3 linked regions of the Notamacropus eugenii genome follow. The protein of the gene in region 1 purifies or fractionates together with the protein of each later gene. This does not show direct contact. Links are inferred from orthologs where the notes say so. Each region holds a gene or a part of one and is shown in the gene's direction. Other genes may lie near its edges.

The links.
Region 2: the proteins of PDGFRB (region 1) and FYN purify together in Homo sapiens (pull-down; 3 studies listed by IntAct, with this or other methods). This does not show direct contact. The link is inferred for Notamacropus eugenii from reciprocal best matches to the Homo sapiens genes PDGFRB and FYN.
Region 3: the proteins of PDGFRB (region 1) and RASA1 purify together in Homo sapiens (co-immunoprecipitation; 5 studies listed by BioGRID and IntAct, with this or other methods). This does not show direct contact. The link is inferred for Notamacropus eugenii from reciprocal best matches to the Homo sapiens genes PDGFRB and RASA1.

The regions. Positions count from the first base shown.
Region 1 is NC_092872.1:377,727,978-377,735,503, reverse strand, and holds the start of PDGFRB (platelet-derived growth factor receptor beta), read left to right. Parts: upstream 1-4,438; 5' UTR 4,439-5,008; intron 5,009-6,739; exon of another isoform or gene 6,740-6,862; intron 6,863-7,526. UniProt on the Homo sapiens protein: Tyrosine-protein kinase that acts as a cell-surface receptor for homodimeric PDGFB and PDGFD and for heterodimers formed by PDGFA and PDGFB, and plays an essential role in the regulation of embryonic development, cell proliferation, survival, differentiation, chemotaxis and migration.
Region 2 is NC_092873.1:192,204,982-192,212,778, reverse strand, and holds the start of FYN (tyrosine-protein kinase Fyn), read left to right. Parts: upstream 1-4,759; 5' UTR 4,760-5,168; intron 5,169-7,797. UniProt on the Homo sapiens protein: Non-receptor tyrosine-protein kinase that plays a role in many biological processes including regulation of cell growth and survival, cell adhesion, integrin-mediated signaling, cytoskeletal remodeling, cell motility, immune response and axon guidance.
Region 3 is NC_092875.1:454,108,899-454,116,045, reverse strand, and holds the start of RASA1 (ras GTPase-activating protein 1), read left to right. Parts: upstream 1-4,129; 5' UTR 4,130-4,626; coding exon 4,627-5,096; intron 5,097-7,147. UniProt on the Homo sapiens protein: Inhibitory regulator of the Ras-cyclic AMP pathway. Stimulates the GTPase of normal but not oncogenic Ras p21; this stimulation may be further increased in the presence of NCK1.

The DNA.
Region 1 (7,526 bases):
TACTCAGATATTAACATTATTTCTGTTTCTTCCTTCATCTTCAGCAAACTGTTCTGGACCATGATTCTTTGCTCTGGTTCCTAGATTTCCTCACAGAACTATGTCTTAAGATATGATGCTACTGTCTCATCCTTCTCCTTCACCTTCATCTTTGCCTATCCTGTTTCTTTAGAATAAAATATGCCTATCCAGTGTATTATTATAGACATAGGTCTCATCGTCCCGCATCTCAGTAGTAACTATAAGATCACATATGCCTCTTTGAATTAGGGTGTTTAGTTAATCATTTTTTTTAACCTACACTTTGTGTATTTATGTATAGCCAATGAAAGCAATGGGGTTTTGTTACTGGCTCCTTTTGGGGATTTTTGTCTCCTATGAATTTCTGAAAATGTCTACATCTGTTTTTCTACTTGTACTGTAACTACTATCTATCTATCTATGCTGGTAGATATATGTACTTTCCTCCTTGTTGGTTCATTTAAATTTCTTTTCATTAGATTTGCTAGACTGCATACAAATATGGTGTTATTAACCTATGTTAGGTGCTCAATCATTTTCATATTTTATATGGCTGGACAGAAATTCAGTTCTCATTCTTGAATACCACCTTCTTAACCAGTTGTTCACTACCCCAGTCTGCCAAACGCTAAAGTTCTTGCCTTCTGTGAGCAGCAATGAAGAGAGAAGGAAAGAAAGAAAGAGAGAGAGGGAGGGAGGGAAGAAAAAAGGAAAGGAGGGATGGAGGGAAGAAGGAAAGAAGGAAGGGAAGGAGGGAGGGAGGGAGGAAGGAAGGAAGAACTCACCTGTGCCTCTTAGGTCTTCAGTGTTGTCCATGATTTTGTAATCTTGAGGAATAATTTCTAGGTACCTTATGGTGATATAATTTCTAATCTTGTGAATTATTAGGAGTGGGTAGTAAGCATGTGGAATGGCAAACTTTGGGAGAGTCCCTGTCAAGTCTTGGATATATGTGTTAGGAAGACAGGAGATCTCTCTATTATTGTTATTAGGTTGACAGGTGACTCTGATGAAGGGAATCACCAGCCACTTTTTGTCCCATCTTCCACTGACCCTTACTGGATGATCTTTCATTTGATAGCTTTTATACACACACTCCCATGTTGTCATTCCCTGGAGGACTAGCAGCTGCTTCCTCTTCAGGTAGACCTCTCCCTCTTCCTCAAAAAATTCATAGGATTTAGCTAGCTAGTATTCGTAGAACACTTTAAGATTTGCAAAGGACTTCTACAAATATTTTGTTTTATTTTTATGACAACCCTGGGAGATAGGTGTTATTATTATTTCATTGCACAGATGCAGAAACTGAGGTGGACAATGGTTAAGTGACTTCCCCAGGGTCACACAGCTAGTAAATGACTAAATCTGGTTTTGAACCCAGAGTTTCCTTACTCTTTGCCTGGTACTCTAGACACTGAACCACCTAGCTGCACCAGTAAGTCTTAAAGAAGTCTTAAGCTTGTGCAAACCAGGCTTCATTTTGTCTTATCCACTTTTTAGAAATGTTTTCCTAATCCATTTATTCCAAATATTTGGTGGATCTTCCCTCTCTCTTCTGTGTGATCTTCTTCTACGCTCCAACTTCCTACCATCCCAGTTTCTTTAGGTTCTGCATTTCCTTTACTTTTGACATTGCTTTGTGTGTTTAATTTCAATTTCTGTTATTTTTTTTAAGGGATAGTACTATCTTTGAGGACCCATAGAGTGGAGCGGCACTCTTTATGCCTTTTTACCCTGTATTCCAGAAGTGAAAGTAGCCTAGACCTTGGACAGAGATAGCAATCATTTGGTTGAGACAGAAATATAGACATGGCTCTCAATGCAAGTCACTACAAATGTTCCCCTGTTCACCATATTGACTGGAAGTGACGATCCCCAGTATTTGTCTTTTTGCTGGTAACTCCTTCAGAGAGCTTCAGTAGCAAAGTCTTCTGAGGGTCTTTAACTCTAAACTTCTCTCTCTCCTCACCTCATTAGAACCTTGTTAGCACCTTGACACCTACATTAAACTTTCTCCCCTTCCCTCCTGGTCTGAACCAAGTTGTAACACTAACCTTGCCCTACCAATTACCTTCTTCCTCCTCCTCCTTGTTCTTCAGCTTGTCTTTGACTTCTTGACTTTCTCCACCTTCAGCTCAACTCTATCATCTCTTCCCTTTGCCTGAGTCCTTCTCTTCCTTCAACCTCTCTTCAAGTCTTTCTAAATTTCCACCTTGTAAAGTCAAACTTTCTTCACAATCCCATAGCCCTTCAAAATGCCTTCCAAGTCGTCTTACTCTTGCTTCTTTTCCCACAAATTTCTCCCATGGAAGCCAATCCCTGTTGATGTCTGGCCCATGGCTGGAATGGAAGCATCTCTGACATCCCAGTCTGATACCAGGAAGAGAGCTTCATCTGTTGGATCTTATTTGGGCATTTAGAGCATTGCAGCAGGACATTCCTCTAGAGCTTCATTGACTGTAAAGGTCTCTATGTGGAACCCATACTGAAAGAGGAATAGGGAGGGGTCTTTGTGGCAGTGAGCACTATCTCATGGGACCCTCCCTCCCTGAGAGTTATCGAGGTAGCCAGCAGAGGGGGGTGCTAGACTTTTTGGAAGTCTGGCTTTAGTGGCCAAAACTGTTGTCTGGGACACAAAATCACATCATCTCAAAACTTGAAGGTATCTCAGAGGTCCCTTAAGTGAGAACACATCTGAAATATAAATCCTTTCAAAAACATCCCTAATCAGTAGTCATTCATATCATATGATAGAGCTGGAAGGAGCCTTAGAAATAACATTATTTTCAAATGCCTCATTTTAGAGATGAGGAAATAGGGACCCAAAGAAGGGAAATGATTTATAATAGCTAGCATTTATCTAATGTATAATCTCATTTGATTCTCACAACAAACCTATGGAGAAAATGTTGTTAATAATGTGTTTTGTAAATGAAGAAACTGAGCGAGGGATAGGTTAAGTGACTTGACCTGGGTCACACAGCTACTAAATATGGACTCATACTCAGGTCTTCCTGTCTGCAAGCCAGGAAATGTTCTAAGCATTGCACTACTTGGTGGCTGCTAGCCTTCGCCTATGGTCACATAGTAAGGTTAAGAGCAGGGCCAGGACTAAATATCTAGTAATGTTCTTTCCATTTTACCACACTGTCTCTTTCCTTTTCTATGACCAAAACAATCACATCCTTTCTCTTCCAGCTATTAAGGTGTCTGCTCCCCTCTCTCACTTGTTTGGAATCTTCTCCATCTCTGAGGATTTCTCGGACATCTCTGAGACTGACGGGATATGTCACCTACTTTGCATCCCACAAAATTGGCTCAAATTCTAAACTCTTCCTTTCATCCAAAATTCCTAGGTCTGAAGGACCTGAATCCTATGCCATAGTTCACTGTTTCCTCACTACTTCCCACCTCACCGTCTGACCAACTAGTGCCTGCATACAGAGGACTAGTCTTATGCTTAGAGATTCATGGGGTTGGGGAGTAAGATCAGGTTGTACTGTCCAAGCAATGGGCACACCAGCAGTGGAGGCCGCAAAGGGTTAATGACTGCTGGGGCTAAGTGACTCCAGATGTGCTGGACCAACCTGTGGTTGATCATGACCAGAAGCCAGGCTACAGCTCTGCTTCCCTCAGCCATCCCCTCCCCTCCCTGGAGATACCCCGAGTCCCCAGTTTCAAAGGAGGCAGGAAGGCCTTGCCCTCTCTGCCATTCCTGCCATGTACACTCTGTCCTTGAATACAATCATAGAATATAGGACCTAGAATTTCAGAACTAGAAGGGAACGTAGAGCAGAGAATGTGAGAACTGGATGGAACTTAGAATGGCCGAGCCGACAGGACCCTTCCAAACCATCTTAGCTCAATCCATTCATTTTGCAGATGGAGAGAATGAGACCCAAAGATTGGGGAGTAACAGGTTACCCCACAACACTGTAAAGCATGATCTCCTGTTTTCCCTTCTTTCCTGGGGACCCTCTCCCAGAGGTACACAGGCGGGCACTGCCTGAGATCCCTCTACCTAGCACAATCCCTGCCACGATTGCCAGGTGATCGACAGATTGCCAATCTATGACCCTACCTTACCGTCAGCAGCAGAGCCCCCAGACCCTATTGCCCAGTCTGGGGAGAGGAGAGGGGAGGGGAGTCACCACCCTGGGCAGAATGGGCTGGCCTCTCTTAATACAAATGACTCAGCTGCTGGCGTGGGCTGTGGAATTTCTAAACATCCCCTCATATCCTGAGAAAGAGGGAGAAGGCAGAGAGTGAAGGGAAAACAGAAAGAAAAACAAGAAACTCAGGGGAAAAAGACCAAATTGAAAACAGACACACGCACACACACACTCCTCTCTCTCCCTCCCTCTCACGCTCCCTGCCTGCCTGCCTGCCTCCCTCCCTCCCTCCCTCCCTCTCACACACCCTCTCTCACTCAAAGAGACCAATCAAAGGGACCTCTTCGGCCTTTCCCCCCAAGTTGTAGGAGACAGAGCTTTCTCTCTCACTCAGAGTTGTCTCAGCCTCTTACTGCTTCCACCTCTGCCTGAGGCCTGGGTACCCTGAACCTAGCCGCTATCCATCTTCCTCGCCCAGCAGGCCAAGAGACAAGGGGAAACCAAGAGAAAACTTTGTAAGCAGAGAGTGGACCAGGAGGGCTTACCTCTTCCTTTGCCTTCTAACTGTCCTTGATCTCAATCCCTCAGAGGGGCAAACATACAGAAAGACCAAACTAGAAAGGCCCTCCTGAGTCTGGAGATTCCCATAAGGATGCTCTAGAACTGTCTCTGTCCCTCCTGCTGCTGGTCCTTGGACCAACTGCTCCCCCTGTTCTCCAGTCACTCCTGCCTCCTGGAGCTCCATCCACGGGGGCCAAGGGAGGTGAGTTTGGAGACAGACGAGGAAGGGGCAGCATCTGGGGACTCCGCAAAAGTAGGCTGTTTGTGAGCAGGCAGCAAACAAGGCAAAGTCAAGAGAAGACCAAGGCAATAAGGTAGGTGCCTGGGCCCCCAACACTCTCTGCCCCCACCTCACCCCACTTTCAGGGCCCCTTTGTCATGTCTCAGCCACACTTTGGTCAAGTTGAAAATGGAAAATATTTTTAGCGAAACCAGATGGGAGAAGCTCAGAGCAGAGTTGGGAGATGTCAGTTTGCAAAAGAGTTGAATATCCTTTGCCATCCCCATGCTCAGTTGGACCTTCCGCAATCATGCCCACCAGACGGGCCCCTCTTTTCTCCCTTTTCTACCCTGTGCCCCAAGAGCTAGCACCCCGCCCCCCTCCATTCCAGCCCTCATTCACACAAAACCACTGGGTTTTCTGGGCTCCATTCTCCTGGCTCAGTATCTTAACAGCGGAGGGTCTGTTTGCCAGAGCTAGGGGGCGGGGCCTGGGGGGGTAGGGGTGGCTTGAGGGGCCAGAGAATGGGCAGAGTGGGAGGGGGACTTTAAGGATGAAGGCTACTAAGGGTGGGGAGATATTGAGGGCAAGGGGTTGTGAGGGGAGGAAGGATTATGAGGAGAGACAAACCATGAAGGGAGGGGACTCAGAGAAAAGTGGCGCTGAAGGGGGTGGAGTGGTTCGTACTTAAGTGGATCAGACTGGAGATAGAGGACAAAAGTTGTGGGGGAAGGTGGGGAACAGATGGGGGGGGTTGGCGGTTAGGACAAGGGACTAGGGAATGAGGGAATGAGTGTGAGATGGCGCTATAAAATAGGGAATGAGGCATCAGGATCAGCAAACAGAAGATTGGGGACCAGGGTTGGAGAGGGGAGACCTTCAGCCTCAGCCATGAGTCTGCAGCCGTTTTCCCAGAAAGGATTTGGCTTCAGGCCAGTCCCTAGGGCCATCGAAGCCCCGGGGATTTAAAGGGCTTTGCAAATTTTCCAGATTCCTAAGATGTCCTTCCAAACCCCCAGCTGATGGGAAACTGTCAGTTTGTTGTAGCTCTCCTTATGCTGTTAGGGGTGGAGGGGTAAGCGGGGAGGAGAGGAGGGGACAGGAACTGAGCTTGGGCAGCCTATGAATGGAGCTAGGGCTCCAGAGTGTGGGGGGTGGGGATACAGAGGGGGAGGGAACAATAGGAGACCTCCTAAGGAAAGCATTGATCTCTCAGACCTCTCTGCCTTTTTCTAAGGGAAGGGCCTAAGCTAAGAGGGGTCAAGGGTGATAGGAGGACCCTGACAGATCCAGCCCCTCAGTCAATGATAGTTTTTCTAGGTAGCTGTAGGATAATTGGTGTATAAGTTTGTGCAAACCAGGGCATTGCTTCATCCTGTCCAGTCTTTAGAAATATTTCTCTAATTTATCTCTTCTTCACTCCCACAGTCACTATCCAGCCTAGGTCCTCATCCTCTTCTGACAGAATGCATTATTAAAGTGATGTTTTGTGAGTACTTGGAAAAGAAAGCAGTGATTACTATGAGCCAGCATGGGTTCATAAAGAATAAGTCATGCCAGACTAACCTCATTTGCTTTGACAAGGCCATACCCTATACATAGCAGACCTGGATTTCAGCGAGACATTTACTATGGTCTCTCATTCTCTTGTGGAATGTGTTTAGAGTGATTAGATAGAGTAGGCTAGATAGTAGCACAGTTAGGGAAGCTAAGAACTGATCAAATAGCTCGTCCCCACAGTAACTGTTCCAGATCTTTCACTTTTTCCTAACGTCCCCCATGGCAGCCTCAACTCCACACTTATCAGCAGATGACCTAAACTGCTACTTCACTGAGATAGAAACCATCTGAAGTGAACCCCCCAGGACCTTCCTTTGTCCCTTAAAATGCAGCAGCAGCAGCAACCTGCCTCAGCCTGAGCTAAGGCTGGCCTTCTAGCTGGACTCTTGTGAGTACATCATCCCCTCCTGATTCTTCTCTCTTGCTTCTTATCATCCCTTTTCTCATGCCTCTCCAGTCTCCTTCTCCAGGAGCTCTTTCCAATGGGCCTCCGTGTTGATCTCCCCATACCTTAAACAAAAGAGTGTTCCAGTGACCATTTTACTCCCTCTAGTTACTTTCTAACATCTCTCCTCTCCCGCACCGTCAACTTTTTGAAAAAAGTGTCATGTGATGTAGATGCTTGGTGATATGATAGTACTTCCTCACTACTGACCCTCAGTGGCACAGTGGCTAGAGCACCAGGGTGAAAATCAGGAAAGATTTCTCTTTCTAAGTTCAAATCTGGCCTCAGACACTTATGAACCATGTGACCCTGGGCAAGTCACTTTATCCTGTTTGCCTCAGTTTCCTCATCTGTAAAATGAGCTAGAGAAGGAAATGGCAAACTGTTCCATTATCTTTACCAAGAGAACCCCAAATTGGATCACAAAGAGTTGGACAGGACTGAACAACACCACCACCTGTTGTATTTTTAGGTTCTTTCTGTGGCCTCCTCTTGCCTACTAAGTTCAAATTTCTTATCTCATCATTCAGGGCCCTCCATAATCAGGTGCCACTCTACTTTTCCAGATTCATTTAGTGCTATTGCCGGATTCTTTAGTCCAATTAAG
Region 2 (7,797 bases), on another chromosome or scaffold:
CATGTCAATATATATCTAATAAAGGGTTTTGATGATGACGACGTCTTACCTTGCAACATTTATAACATACTGGGTGCCATACTAGCAAAGCATTTGACACACAGAGAGAAAAACATTCCATACAGAAATTTTTAGTCATTGACTTATTAGAGTGTTAATTAATAAAATTACCTTAGATTCATAGATGGTACTTTGAAGTCTTTAAAAATCAGTAATGGCTAAATTAGGAAGTAGGAATGGTACTTTAGAAGATGAAGTTAGGAAGGTTAACTGGACCTGTCCAAATCATCAAAATCCATATTGGAGGCTGCACAACTTTGAGGGCCTTGAGGGATCATTTAGTAAGTTTTATTAGGGAGGGGAAGATGCCAAAAAGAATGGACAGAATTACCACCTCAAAAAAGTGATCAAGAGGGCATCGGGAACTACTCACCCATATTCCTACTTTATCTTCTTCATAACACAGTTATGAGAATGAGCAACATTTTTGTCCAGGGTAAAACTAGATGAAAATATGAGACAGAAATCCAGTCTTTCATGATTTTCTATAGCATAATGAATGAATAAATGAATTCACATAAATGAATAAAGGAACTTATTGAGAATTTACTAGTTAAGTCAACAATTACTTATTTTTAAATCATATTTTGTTTCCCCCAATTATATATAAAAACAATTAAAATGGCTTTTTAAAAGTTTTGACATTCTAAATTCTGTCCCTCCCTCCCTTCTTCTCTCCCTGAGATGGTAAGCAATCTGATACAGGTTATACATGTGCAATCACATAAAACCTATTTCCATATTAGTCATTTTGTGAAAAGGAAGAAAGGAAGGAAGGAACAAAAGAAAGAAGGAAAGAGAAAAACGGTATGTTTTAGCCTATATTCAGACACCATCAGTTATTTCTCTGGAGGCAAATAGCATTTTTTATCTTGGGTCTTTTGGAGTTGTCTTGGATCATTGTATTGCTGAAAATAGTCATCCACAATTTCAATAATCATTTATTAAACACCTGCTATGTGCATGGCATTCTACTAAGGGCTGAGGATACAAAGAAAGGCAAAAGACAGTCTTTGTTCTCAAGAAGATCATAATCTAATTCAAGAGAAAACACGCAAATAACTATACAAAATAGAGGCAGTTGGTAGCTCTGTGGATAGAGCTCTGGGCCTGGAGTCAGGAAGACCTGAGTTCAAATCCAGCCTCAGATACTTCCTAGCTGTGTGACTCTGGGCAAATCACTTATTCTCTGATTGCCAGACAAAACAGATTCATTGGAAAAGGAAATTGCAAACCACTCCAGTGTCTTTGCCAAGAAAACCCTAAATGGAATCAGGAAAGGTCAGACGAGATTGGACAACATGTATAAAACAAGGTATGTAAAGGATAAATTGAAGACAACCCCAAAGGGAAGGCACTAGCATTAAGGAGGATCTGGAAAGACTTCTTGCGTAAGGTTAGATTTGAGCTTAGACCTGAAGGAAGTCAGAATACTGAGAAAAGAAGGGATACAATTCTGGATAGTAAAAATGAGTGGAGTCTAGAGATGAGAGGAAGGCTTGCGAAAGAAGTAAATTAGGAAGGAAGCCAGTGTTATTGGATATCAGAGTACATGGGAGTAAGGTAGACTGGAAAGAGAGGAAAGGACCAGGTTCTGAAGGACTTTCAAAGCCAAGCAGAATTTTTTATTTGATCCTGGAGATAATAGGGAGCCCACTAAATTTATCAAATGGGATGGTGACATGGTCAGACCTGTGCTCAAAGAATTGTGCTAAGGAGTAGCAATACAAATAGAAAACACAGTACCTCCTCTCAAAGAATTCAACATTCTACCTGGGTTTGACAACACACAAAGGAGGCTTTAACTGCAAGTCAATGGAAAGGTCCTATTGTTCCTAAGAAACAGCAGTAAAGAAGATGATAATGCATCATCTTTAATGACATTTCTCCACTAATAAAATAATCCAGAGTTCCTTCAGTATTTGATCCACTCATCTGAACCACCTAAAACACTCAAGAAGAATCCAAATACTTTTGAGGAAGGCAGTAAATAGGATTTTTAAGGTGTTAAAGGAAATAAGACAGAATGCCCTCTTGATGGCAGCTTGTCAATAGGTACTTTGGATGGCATATTCAGTGTGGTATGAAACAAAATGTTGACTTAACAGTCAAAGGACTGGAATCTGACTTATTACCTAGGTAACCTTTGGAAAAGGACTTAAAATCTCTGAGACTCAGTTTCCTCATCTGTAAAATGAAGGGATTTGATCAGATGATCTCTAAAATCAGCTTTAAAGCTATGACTGTATGATCTCTTGGTTGATTGGTTATTGTCCTTCATTCTCGAAGAGGATCAAAATAACATCACCATAATAAAGTGAAATTTCAGTGTGTCAGACTGTGGCTGATCAGACCAATATGAGCTTGGAATGCTCTACCACAGGCTGGGCACAGATAGTCTGTATGAATATTTGGGGTGGATATTCCAAATTTGTACATCCTATGTTTACTTTGTGCTATTTCAATTCTGCTTTGCTCATAGAGCACAGCAACCTTTCTGATGTGGGCATGCTATGCTGAGTGGTCCTGTGCCAGTGTCTCCCATGTTGCACAGTCAAATCCAAAGTTCTTGAGAGAGACCTTGACAGTGTCCTTGTATCACTTCTTCTGGCTACCATGTGATCGCCTGCCCCATACAAGTTCTCCATAAAATAGTCTTTTGGGCAAGTGTACATTTTGCATTCGACCAACATGCCCAGCCCATCAGAGCTCACTCTCTGAAGCATAATTTGAATACTTGTCAGTTCAGCTTGAGCAAGGACTTCAGTGTCTGGTACCTTACCCTGCCAGGTAATCCTCAGAATTTTCCTAAGACAGTTCAAATGGAAGAGATTCAGTTTCCTGGCATGGTGCTGGTAGACTGTCCATGTTTCATTTTTAAAAGACAGACTTGTAGAACAAGTGGGAACAACCCATAGACAGAGAAAATTAACAGTAGCTAGCTGAGAAATTTGAGGTACTTGAAGTATTTTCAAAAGGATCCCTGCTTATCCTTTGGATAAATGTCAATATCTTCTCTAAGACAGTGTATCAGAGTCTTCTTTTTCTTCTTGTAGGTATTTTTAAGGGGACCAAATGAAACAGTGTTCTATGGCAATGTTATTATGTTCTGATTTGTCTTTATACAAATATTAGTCAGTGTGGTGCAGTGGCTTTGGAGTCAGAGGACCTCTGCCATTTACTTACTTGGTGACCTTGGGCAAGTCACTAATCTTTTCTTAGCCTTGGTTCTCTCATCTGTAAAAAGAGAGGACTGAAGAATAGGGTCCCTTAAGCCCCTTACAACTCTAAAACTATGAGTAGGTCCTCCTTACTCTATTGTAAACCCATCAAATCTGTGCCAGAGAAGGCAGACAGTAATAACTGAGATGCATTCCTTTCTCTCTGAGTTATGCCATTAGAATTAAAGCTTATTTGGAGCGGAGAGGGGTTTCCTTGCACAAAGCATTAAGTGCAATTTGTTATTATTAAATGAACGAATTTTAGTTAAGCCTCAAAGTGAAACTCTCAGATAAAGAGAAATCAATTATAAAGAAAATCAGGAAGGCAAAATTTTACTTTTCATGTAGATATATCTCATCATACAAAAGTTGGATGACAGGAAATAGACTGATTTATCCCCCAAATGGTGTATCCCATCCACCAAAAAAAAAAAAATTTTTTTTTAACTACAGAACATGCATCGGAGGGCAAAGGAGTGGGAAGCTTGAATGTCACCCGAAACCAAAGACAACATTTGGAGAGACAATCCCCGGCTACTATTACACATGATTTTGAAAAAATGTGCAAACATAAGCTTCTACCCTATCATTATGGTATGCACACACTTGAATATCTCTTCTTTCCACGCAGCTCTAATCTAATCACCACCAGGCTTGACCACTTTGGGGGTGGGAGGAATCCTTTCTAGAAAAAAAAAAAACCTTTGAATCTTTTTCTTTTATATAGATTTCCCCAATTTCTATCTTGGGGAGAGTACCCCCCCACACACACACACACCTTCTTCAGACTGTGTAGGGAGCACACAGCTCTCAGAACGCTTCGCTGAGCACCCTAACACTTTATAACCTTGTCCTCCCACCCCTGAAACACTGTAACACCAGGAGGGCAAGCCGCTACTTTGTTAAACAGGTTTCCATGGTTTTAAGGGTGGCAGGGGATGGGGAAATGCTAAAACTGTACTGAAAGGAGTGTTGAAGAACCAAAAGAGAAAGACTCGTAACCCTTAAAGACTGAACTGGACGCAGCACACTTTACCCACTCCTCAATTTTTTGCTAAAAAAAAAAAATTCTCCATAAGCCTTACTGCTCACACAGCCCACTCCGCGAACTCAAATCCTCCTTGTCCCCATCGGGATGCCCGCTGACACCCTGAAGCACACCACCAGCTCCCGGGCCCGCCCACTCCCGCCCCCGCCCCCGCGGCCGGGTCCAATGACGGCCGCTCTTGGGGGCTAGGCCTCCGGTGATAGGCTTGCAGGGCCTGCCGCTCTCAAGATGCGGCCCTCCCCCTTTCTCCGCCCTTCCCCTCCCTTTTTTCTTTCTCTCCCTTCCCCAAGCTGGAGGGGCCGGAGCATCAGGGGGAGTAGCCCAGCCGGGAGAGCAGCCGCGGCGTAGTTGCAGTTGCGCCATCTGTCAGGAGCGGGCCAGGGAGGAGGGGGAGGAGAAGGAGGAAGAGGAGGAGGAGAGGGAGAAGGAGAAGAAGGAGAGGGTGGAGGAGAAGGAGGAGGAGGAGGAGGAGAGGGAGAAGGAGGAAGGCTCAAGGCTCGCTGTGCAGAGGAGCAGCCGCGCGAGGAGAGGGGAGGCCACGGCCCCTTAGAGCCCCCTCCTTCCCTTGCCAGCCGGGGCGGCGCAGCGCTTAGCTCCCGGGGTGGTGGGGGTGGCTTGCGGAGCGCCCGCACCGAAGCCGCCGCCTCCCAGAGCGGCAGCTGGTACCCGGAGGGAGCCGGCCGCCGGGGCTGGGGGGGGAGAGACCCTGGCGCTGTCCTCCTCCCGCTTCTCCTGCTCCTCCTGCGCCCGCCCCCTCGGAAGGGTCGCCTGCCTGCCTCCCCGGGAGCCCGCAGAGGAGCGCCGGGAGAAGACCATGTGAATGGGGCTGGGAGCCTCAGGTAAGCGGGGCGGGGGTGGGCGGGGGAGAGGATGCTGCAGCGGCCGCCGCAGCCGCCGGCACCGGCTCCTCCTCCGGACCCCCGCATCTCCGGCCGCGGGGTCGGGCGCCGCGCGGCCGCTGCGGCTCGCCAGCATTCTCCGGACCTGACAGGCGCGCGGCGCGGGCTTCCCTGCACTGCCCCGGCGCGGCGGACCCCCGACCCCAGCTCCTTCCCCACCCCGGGAAGGACTGGACTGGAGCTGGGCTCGGGCTCGGGAGGGAGAAGCGGGTTCCGCCCCTGCTGAGCTGGTGGAGCCCCCCGCCCCCACCCCGGGGGACCCTGGCGGCGTGGGTTGCTCTAATGACAGGGATGATGTAATCATTTAATAATTGATGATTCCCAGTAAGCCGGGGCTTGGCCCCCTGCTGCTCCCCCTCCACCTCTCCATCCTCTCGCGGTCCCTGTAGCTGACGATTTCCCATGCCCATCCTCCTGCGGGCTTCCATCACCTCCCTAAGCGACTTCCCCCACCTTCTTTCCCTTCCCCCAATTTCCCTTTCCTTTGGCTTCCCGCCCTCTTCCGCCTCTCCTTCTGCTCCCCTCAGGCTTTTTCTCCTCCCCCCTCAGCCTCACCCTCTTACCCCTCGCCACCTTCCCCTCAGCCCCCCTGCGTTTCCTCTCTACTTCCCCAGATCATTTGCTGGTTTTTGTCTCCTCCTTTCTCTTATCTTTAAGCCCACAGGCTGAGGGTAGTGAGCCAGAAAGAGGCAACTAAGACTCCTCGCAGGGCGTTTATTTGCTGTGACTAACTGCAAAAAAGGAAGGGAGGAAGGGAGGGGGGCATGATAAAAGTATCCTCCCTTTTCTTTCCCTCAAATCAATCTCACAGGCTGTGTGTGTGTGTGTGTGTGTGTGTGTGTGTGTGTGTGTGTGTGTGTGTGTGTGTGTGTGTGTCACACAAAGGGTCCTTTCAGTTCCTAGAGAAGAGACACACAAAATACCCAAGAATGGTGGGGTTTCCTGCTTGTTTCTTTTCCCTGGGGCTTCCCTTTCTCTTTCCACAGGAGGCAGGAGATCTTCTCTCTCACATCCCCTTTCCTGCCACATTTGGGGGAAAGATAAAGGGCACCAAATGCCCATTTGTGGGCATTTAATAACGTCCCAGGAACTGTAGGGGATTTGGAAGTGGACTATTTTCTCATGGTTGTTATTGGTGTGTGTGTGTGTGTGTGTGTGTGTGTGTGTGTGTGTGTGTGTGTGTGTGTGTGTGTGTTTAAAGGTTTCAGCAGCTTAGAGAAGTTTCCTTTCAGCGTTAGATGGCTTCTTTCCTGACTCCGTTTTGTGGGGAGGGTGCTAGGGGCCTGGAGTTAGGGCTATGTTGGTGTGTTGAAGGAGTAGTTTACTCATGAATCAGAGAATGATATTAATGGGTTGATCCATTTCTTAGTGATAGGGGAGGGAACTGAGTGAGAGAGAACTGAGCCTCCAGAAAGACTTCATTTCTTTCCAATCAAGTATAAGCAGAGACTTTTGTTATGGAATCTCTTTTTTATGTTTTCTCTGTCGATGTTGGTGTCGCTTTGTATTTAAGTACTCAGAACCATTATGAAGGCAACAAGACTTGAGTGCCTCTGGAAATACTTCTGGAAACCTTGTCCCTTTCCTGCCTCTGTCTAGCCTTCTTTACTCCCACATCCTTCCTCTCACTACTTGTGTATTTTCTACTCTTTGTGTTCTAACCCTTTCACCCCTAGATCCTGCCCCATGTATCCCCAGTATTCAGGTGAAGATTGTTGGGTTCAGAAACTCTCAGAGGAAGTGGTTTTGTTAAATATCTAAAACTTGGAGGCAAGACTGGCTGCAACCTATAGAAGTTTCTATGTATCTTCTGTCAGAACCCTAAACCATCTCTCTCATGACACTCTCTAGGAAAGAGGTCCTTAATCTGTGAACTTTTTTTTTTTATATTTTGACAACTATTTCAAAATAATTGATTTTCTTTGTAATTCAATAGGTTTTATTTTATATATTTAATAACATTATTCTGAGAAAGAAACCATGGGCAGTATATGATAAAAAAGAAAGGGAAGAATGTCACAGCATGTGTGTGTGTGTGTGTGTGTGTGTGTGTGTGTGTGTGTGTGTGTGTGTGTGTGTGTGTGAGAGAGAGAGAGAGAGAGAGAGAGAGAGAGAGAGAGAGATACAGATACAGATACAGATACAGATACAGATACAGATACAGATACAGATACAGAAACAGATACTCTTGCTCTAGGAAGAAATGTAAAGTTGGGTGCATTGTATGCCAATTCCATAATGGCTAAACTTGAGTATTAAGAGTCTGGTACCAAACCAATACAAATGTGGGGCAATGTCTCCCAAGTTAATTCTGAAAGAATACTTTTTTTTTTTTTAAATAAAAGCTTTGTTAGAATTGAGATCCCATCCGTGCATATTTGAATTTTAGAAGCCTTTCATTGTAAGAACTTTTTATTTGGAAAAAGTAATGTGGTTAACGGGGTTACTTCTGAAAACAAAGGATGGTTTGTTTTTAGACTCTAGAAGGGCAGTCAATGCGCTTTAAGCTTAAACTCTGTTGTCTAACCAAAAGTGGCTTCATGGACAAAATTGAATTTGAACAAAACCC
Region 3 (7,147 bases), on another chromosome or scaffold:
CTTTTGTAGCTAATTCTTTTCATTGATATAATATTCGATTTTTTCCTTTTCATTAAACAACGTCTGGTGTATGTATATAATATGGCAAATTATTCACTTAAACATTTTAATCTCATTTTGCAATTTCTCTCCTACAATTTCCTCTGGATGGTTTGTTTTATTTCTTAGCACCTCCCTATGTAATATTGTCTCTGAATTTCATTAACAGATTGTTTTAACAGATGTTATAAAAGAACAGACTTAACACCCACTCTTACTATACCCCAGGACACCTCTCTCTAACTAGATACTGACACACAGTTGCATATTGTCACTTTGTTGACTTGCGGCTGGTTTTCTACTCTCCTGTCAGCATCACTTACATCTAAGCCAAGTGATTCAGAAGCTTCTGAGTAAAAAAAAAACAAAAAAACAGACAAAAGAAGAAAAAGGGGAAATTAACAACAAAAGCCAAGAAACAAAGGAAATAAACACAACTAAGGAAAATATTTTCACACACGTGAAAAATCATAGAAAAAACCCAAATATTCAGAACATGAAGCGTATTGGAAGAGAAGTAAAAGATGAAGAAAAACTATCTTATGACATTTCTTCTCATCCTTCGAAGAAGGAGCCTCACTTAAACATCAGCATACATTTAAAAATATCATGCAAAGGAAAAAAATGTATTTTGCAATGTTTTTCAGAACAAGAAATGCAGTTATCAGAAGCCTTTCTGTTGAAACAATCTATGTAGTAAAGCTTTCAAAAATATTTTTGAGGGGTTAAATATAAACTGTTCTGTTCAGTGTTTCTCATAAAGGAGACTGTGAAAAAAGACAGTTGTTAAGAGACAAATACATATTAGGAATTTAAATCTGGACTGGAAGTCACTACTAGAAAAAGTGTCAAAACACATAGCTCACAGCACTCCTGAGAGCAGCAGAACCAGATTAAAATGTAATTGGGAAATATTTTAAAAATAAACAAAATACAATAAAATATAGATTAATATTACATTTTAAACTGTCAACACATGGCCTGCAGGGATCTTTATGTACAAATGAGAGGTATGCACTTCTAGTTGAGTTTCACATTACTTCAGTAGTAGTGTGCTAGGCATTATGTAGAAGATAAAAAAAAAAAGACAACCTTTTCTACTTACAGTGTAGTAATGTATCTGAAAACATTTATAGAAAAATATAAAGCAGCAGTGTTAGATTCTGGTTCCTTGTTTATAAGTGCTAGAACTCCAAGGAGGAAAAAAATCTGACTCTACCCTATGAAGTTGGGGGAGGTGGGACATGTGTGTGCTGTGAGAAGTATTTCCTTATCCTTCAAAGTGTAATAGAGATGGGAACTCTCTGATCACTGTTCTCAATTCCTGTATCCCAAGGTGGTCCACAGCTACAAGTAGCAGCTCAGTACTTCCTAATATGCTCCTTTCTCTCCCTTACTGTGATACTACTGGGCGAAACTTTCCTTTTTTCAGATCTTTTTCTCCAGTCAATTCTGGCTGGTTTGAATGTCAAGATCCCTCAATGAATTCCTAAATAAATTTCAATAGCTCCACCCTTAATCCTCTCCACTCCTCTCCTTCTCTCTCCTTCCCCGCCCCACCCCCCCAACCCCAGTGGTACATGGTCAAGTTGCTCCAGATTTATTTTGTACAAAGTGTACTGTAGGCAAACTAATGAAATAAGTATCCATTCCTCCAGTGTCTCCAATCATCCCTTCCTGTGTCCTTCCCTCCTTTGGGTCCTTTCCCCATTTCTCCCCAGGGTATCAATATTCTTCTGACAGTTACTTCATTTAGAAAGGAAATTTACCTAAAAAACAAATTCATATTATGCTGTTAGGAATTTAATATTACCTTTCTCAAAGGTATTTTCATTAAAAAGGGGAGAAAGGAATGTAGAGGGTAAAGCTTAAACCACTTGAATGAATCAAATGCTGTTGTAATTTCAGATGGATGTATAAAGACTTTCTGGTAACGTTTAACAACTGGCTCAAAAAATTGGAGTGCTTTAAAAAGCACTTTTAAATTTAGTCTGCATAATTATCATTTTCTTCTACAAAATTAACAAAATAATGAATTATACTCAATGTGTAGCATTTGATGATTTTTGAAGTGTGACTGCTCACATTGAAAATTTAACAATTAGTTCTCAGAGCCTAGGAGATGGGTCAAGTATTCCTCCTCCTTACCAAAAGACAACTGCTTATTTTGCCCATGCACACACTCCTTCTTACCAATGAGTTACTCTTTTTAGCTTTTACTGCTAATGGAAAAATATCCTTTGCTATATAAAGAGACTAAAAGTTTCTTTCAAGAATTTATTGGAAAATTTGGAAGAAACGTTATGCAAAGAAACTTTAAGGATAAGTAATTTTCCCTCAACTAAGTAATGCCACAACCCTCCTGTACCTTTAGTGACTGTAGCAGAAAAATTCATTTGCCTACGCCAACTAGGTGATGAGCTTCCTCAAAATTGGCTAGGCTAGTCCTTGCACAGTACATACAGTCAAATAGGGTCCTTACTCTAAGCCTTTCCAGCGTGGTAAGACCTGCTAGAACTTGTGATATCTGGCATAGTGTTCAAGACCCTCTCCATGCCAGGATGAGGCATGGGAGAACTTTGGTGGTGGTATGCACAGATATCTTTCACTATTAGTTCCTCTGGCCTGTTTCAGCTTGCAGAGGTTGCCGATTTTCAGTCTTCTAATTGTCTGTCCTGGCACATTCAATAGAATGGTGCCTGCCTAGAACTCTTTGGGGCAGGGGTTAAGACAATCAGTTCTTTAGTTTAGTTTTAAGTATTTTGCTTCCTTCCCTGGATCAGACCACCGTGGTTACTTGTCTTAATTAACCTGATGAGAAAAGGCACAAAGAAACCGAGCACCCTAGACTAAGAAAGAAAAGCATTAAGTCAGTCAACCAGCCGATAAGCATTTATTAAGCTGATACAATGTGTCAGGTAGTGTGGATACAATGAAGCTAGGAAAAGATTAAGCGATTTTACTGCCCAAGGTCACAAAGGCAACGGGTGTTTTCTCTTGGGTGCTCTTTCCACCTTTTTAATGTTTTTTTGATCTTTTCAGATCCTATCCCAAGAGCACGGTTTCCGCCTCCTGACTTCCTTTAAGTTACAGCTAAAAACTTCTGTGGGCAGCTTTCCCCCATCCTCTTTAATTCAAGGCAGGCTTCCCCATTTGTACAGTTATTTGTACATGGTTCCCACCTTTCGACGGTGACTTCCTCGACAGCAGGAGCTGCCTTTCACTTTTCTGCATCACCAGCGCTTAGCTTACAGTGGGTGCCTAATAAATGTGTATTTACTGACGGACTTCTAAGCTCTTCCTTTTGGGCTTCTGGTTATTAAGAGTATTTAGGAGCCCGAGGGAAGGGTCTGGCAGCCCATTTAACAGCTCGCTCCGAGGGCCGCCAGGAGACCCCCTGGGTGTGGCTCACTTCACGCCCGCTGGGTAGTCTAGGAGCGCCCCATCCCCAAACCAGGAATCCCCTGGAGCGCATCCTCTCCGGTCCCCGCCCCCTCCAGCCAGCAGCCAGCAGCCAGCTCCGGGACCGGACCGGGCGGCTGGGCTGGCCGAGGAGCACAGGGGAAGTCTGGGAACAAAGCGACTCGTGGGCCGCGGGAGCATTTGAACAATGCCTCTGGAGGCGCGCGCGCCGCCGCCGCGAACCAGGCGGACAATTCAGTGGCCGCCCGCCACGCGCCCGGCTGGCAGGAGTGGGGGCCGAGCCGCGAACGCGCGCGCGCCCACCTCTTCCTTCCCTCTCCTCCCCCGCCCCTTCCTTTTCCTCCTCCATCAGCCCTACTCCCGGACTCTCCCCGCGCCCAAAGCTTTCCCAGGGCGCGCCTGCGCACAAGCGGCCCTCTGCTTTTCTTTTTTTTCTTCTCCCCCTCCTCCCCCCTTCCCTTTCTTTCCCCCTCCGGCCTCCCCTCCCCGTCACCCTTTCTCCTCTCTGTAGTTCCTCTCACTGCGAGCTCCAGGTCGGGAATCGCGACTCGGGCTGTGCTCCGCGCGGTCTCCCGCCCCCACCCCCTCCCTCCCTCCTCTCCTCCCCGGCCCTCCCTCCTCCTCCGGCCCCGTGGAGGATGAAGCCGCGGCGGCAGCGGCAGCAGCGCCAGCGGCGGCGGCGGCTGCTGCGGTGGGGGTGGCCGGGACTGGGGCGGTGAAGAGGCGGCCGCGGTGGCGGTGGTGGCGGCGGCGGCCCCGGCTCGCTTCCCCTTCTTCCCGTGCTCCTTAGTTAGTTACCGAGCCGGGAAGTTTTCTTTTGTGTGCGTGTGTGAGTGTGTGAGTGCGAGTGCGCGCGCGCCTTCGGACGGTCTGCGCGGGGGCGTGTGCGCGCCTCGGCCGGGCCGGGGTCGCGGGCGGGTGTTTTTTCCCCTCCTCTCTTTCCGTAGCCGGTCAGGGCCGTTCCGGGGCGCCCGGGCTGCAGCCCCAGGGGCTCCTCGGGCCGGAGGGCGGGCGGGCTCCGGCCTTTTGTTGTTGTTTCCTCCGCGGCCCGGGGAGCTGAGGGGGGGGCCCGCCGGGGAGGGGCGGCCAGGACCCGGGGCCCTGTGGCCCCCGGGGCTCCCGGACGGGCAGGGCCAGGCAGGGCAGGGCCGAGCGGGCTCCAACATGATGGCGGCCGAGGCGGCCGGGAGTGAGGAGGGCGGTCCGGCGACCGCAGGGGCGGGAGGCGGCGGAGGCGGCCCGGCCTCGGCCGCCGACCCCGGCCCTTGCGCCACGGTGTGTCGGGTCAGGACCCCTGCGGCCCTGCCCTGTCCGGTGCCCTCCTGCCCGGGCCCGGCGCCCGGGCTGGGGGGCCCCGCTTTGTGCTCGGCTCTGGGAGCCGGGCCTGGGGCGGGAGGGGTCCCCGCCGCCGCGGCCGGCCCCCAGGGGGACGCCGCCCCCTCCAAGGGTGCCCCCGTGCCCGCCGACGCCCCCGGCCCGGGGGGCTTCCCGCCTCTGCCGCCGCCGCCGCCGCAGCAGCTGCCCGCCCTCCTAGGCGGGGGCCCGGGGACCGTGGACGAAGGCGACTCCCTGGACGGACCCGAGTACGAGGAGGAGGAGGTGGCCATCCCTCTGAACGCGCCCCCGACCAACCAGTGAGTCCGGAGCCGGGCGGGTGGGGGAGGCCGGGGTCGTCCTTCCTGAGGGGTCGCCCCCCCGGACTGGTCTGGAAACCGACCGTTTGGGGGGGACCCTGCGGGCGTGCTCCCCGCGCCTGGTGCCTTTAGGATGAGCCCTTGGGGAAGGCGCAGAGTTTGGGGAGATGCCCGCAGGGCAGCACGGCCCCCGGGTGGGAAGCGGGTCAGTGGGGCTGCTGGACCAACTGCCTGGGTGAAAGGGTGCCAACCCAAACTTGTGGGCGAGCGAGGCGGGGAAGGGCTTTGCAGTTTTGGGAGAAGAGGAATAATTTCAGGAAGCAGTGCCTCCCATTCGTGGTAGGGGATTCAGAGTTTTGAGTTATTACAGCTTTTTTTCCTTCCCAAATACTGTTCTTTTACTGAGACACCCATTCAGTACAGTACTTGTTGAATTGGGAAGAAAGGGAGAAAAGTTTATGCTTCCTTTCGTCGTATTGATAGCTTGCAATATTCCAGTAATCACCTGAAAATTAAATTCGCAATCCCAGGAGAATCTGTTTTTATGGGTGGTACTGCTACTGTATGGAGTGAGCAGTATTAATTTAATTGCTTCATCAAATGATACTGTTTGGATCCTGAGTTTAAAGAGATGTGGGACTTGGGGTTAGAGAAGAAAACTTCAGAAGGAGTGTAACCCTGGCATTCTAAACATTTTTATGACACTTCTCTGTTAGTTTAAATGGAGGCTTTGAATCATACTAGGCTTAATGTGTGACAGAACCAGAAAGATTTAAGTTAAAAATCTGTGCAGGGAAATAATTGGAACACATGACTTACGATATTTTGATTTTAAGCTACTTTAGAAGAGTTTAAGTGGATTATTCTTAAAATTAATTAGGAAAATATGCTGTAATGCTCAACACAGTAAAGCAGGATTCTTTTGATCTTTTTTTGTCAGTGCCCATTCTGATTTTTAGAGCAGAAATATAGAATTAAATTCTATTTATAAAGCCAGGACAAAAAGTTGTATTTCTGATGACCCAGTCCAGAGTGCAGTATTAAGATCAAATTTTATGATTTTAGGATAGCAGGTATGTGTTCCAAATTTGAGTGGTAGGAATAATAACCCTAATTTCAACCTTCTTTTACAATTAAAAACTTTTTCCTGTCCGAATATAATGTTTACCATTTTTTATCAAAAATAAGAAGTGTTTTTTGTACTGTATGACTAGTCTGCTGGATCACCATAGATTTAAGTTGTCAGTTTCATATCTTTAGTAGTCTTAACAGCCCAAACATACTAAGAGATGAAAATTAACAGTAGAAAACTGAGTTTGCAAAGGACTATTTTTTTGTCATGAATATGTATAATTTGAAAAGGCAATAGTTAAATGATGCTGAGTCTCTGGAAGAAAATTTACACTCTTTTGAACATCATCTATTCCCTCAGAGATTTTTGCAGTCCTCACTGAGTGTTGTAAAAATAGGTTATTTGGGGGCTGTTTTTGAAAATATTATGAAAGTTGTATTAATTTTCTTAACTATGTGTCAGATTGTAGCGACATTAAGCATTGTTTTTAAGATAGGCTAATAATTTTGTAGAATGATAGGAACTTGCTAAAAATTCACATGGTAAATAGTTTCAAGAAATGAGCTCACTTCTTGTGAGAATTTTAATAACACTAACGTTTGGCAAAATTTTTACTTTAAAAACAAAAATGTGAACTTGTAATAATAGCCTGCACTTATACAGCATTTTAAGATTTACAAAATGCTTTCTTTACAGTTGAGGTAGGTGCTCAGATATTTATTGGTCAGATGTTATTTTGTTTGTGTAAGTCTTACTATTTCTGAAATAAGCCATGTTTTAATATAGTCTGTAGTTGATTTAGTAAAATAGAATAATGAGCTGGAATCTTAGCTTATTATGCTATTGTCGTTCATGCCTCTGACCTGGTCAGGGTGTGGGACCTCCTTTGAGATAAAAAGATATTTTTGTAGCTGTACCCCATTGGAAGGGAAAACCAAGCAGCTCTTATGTAAAATATTGCTGTCTACATTAATATTTA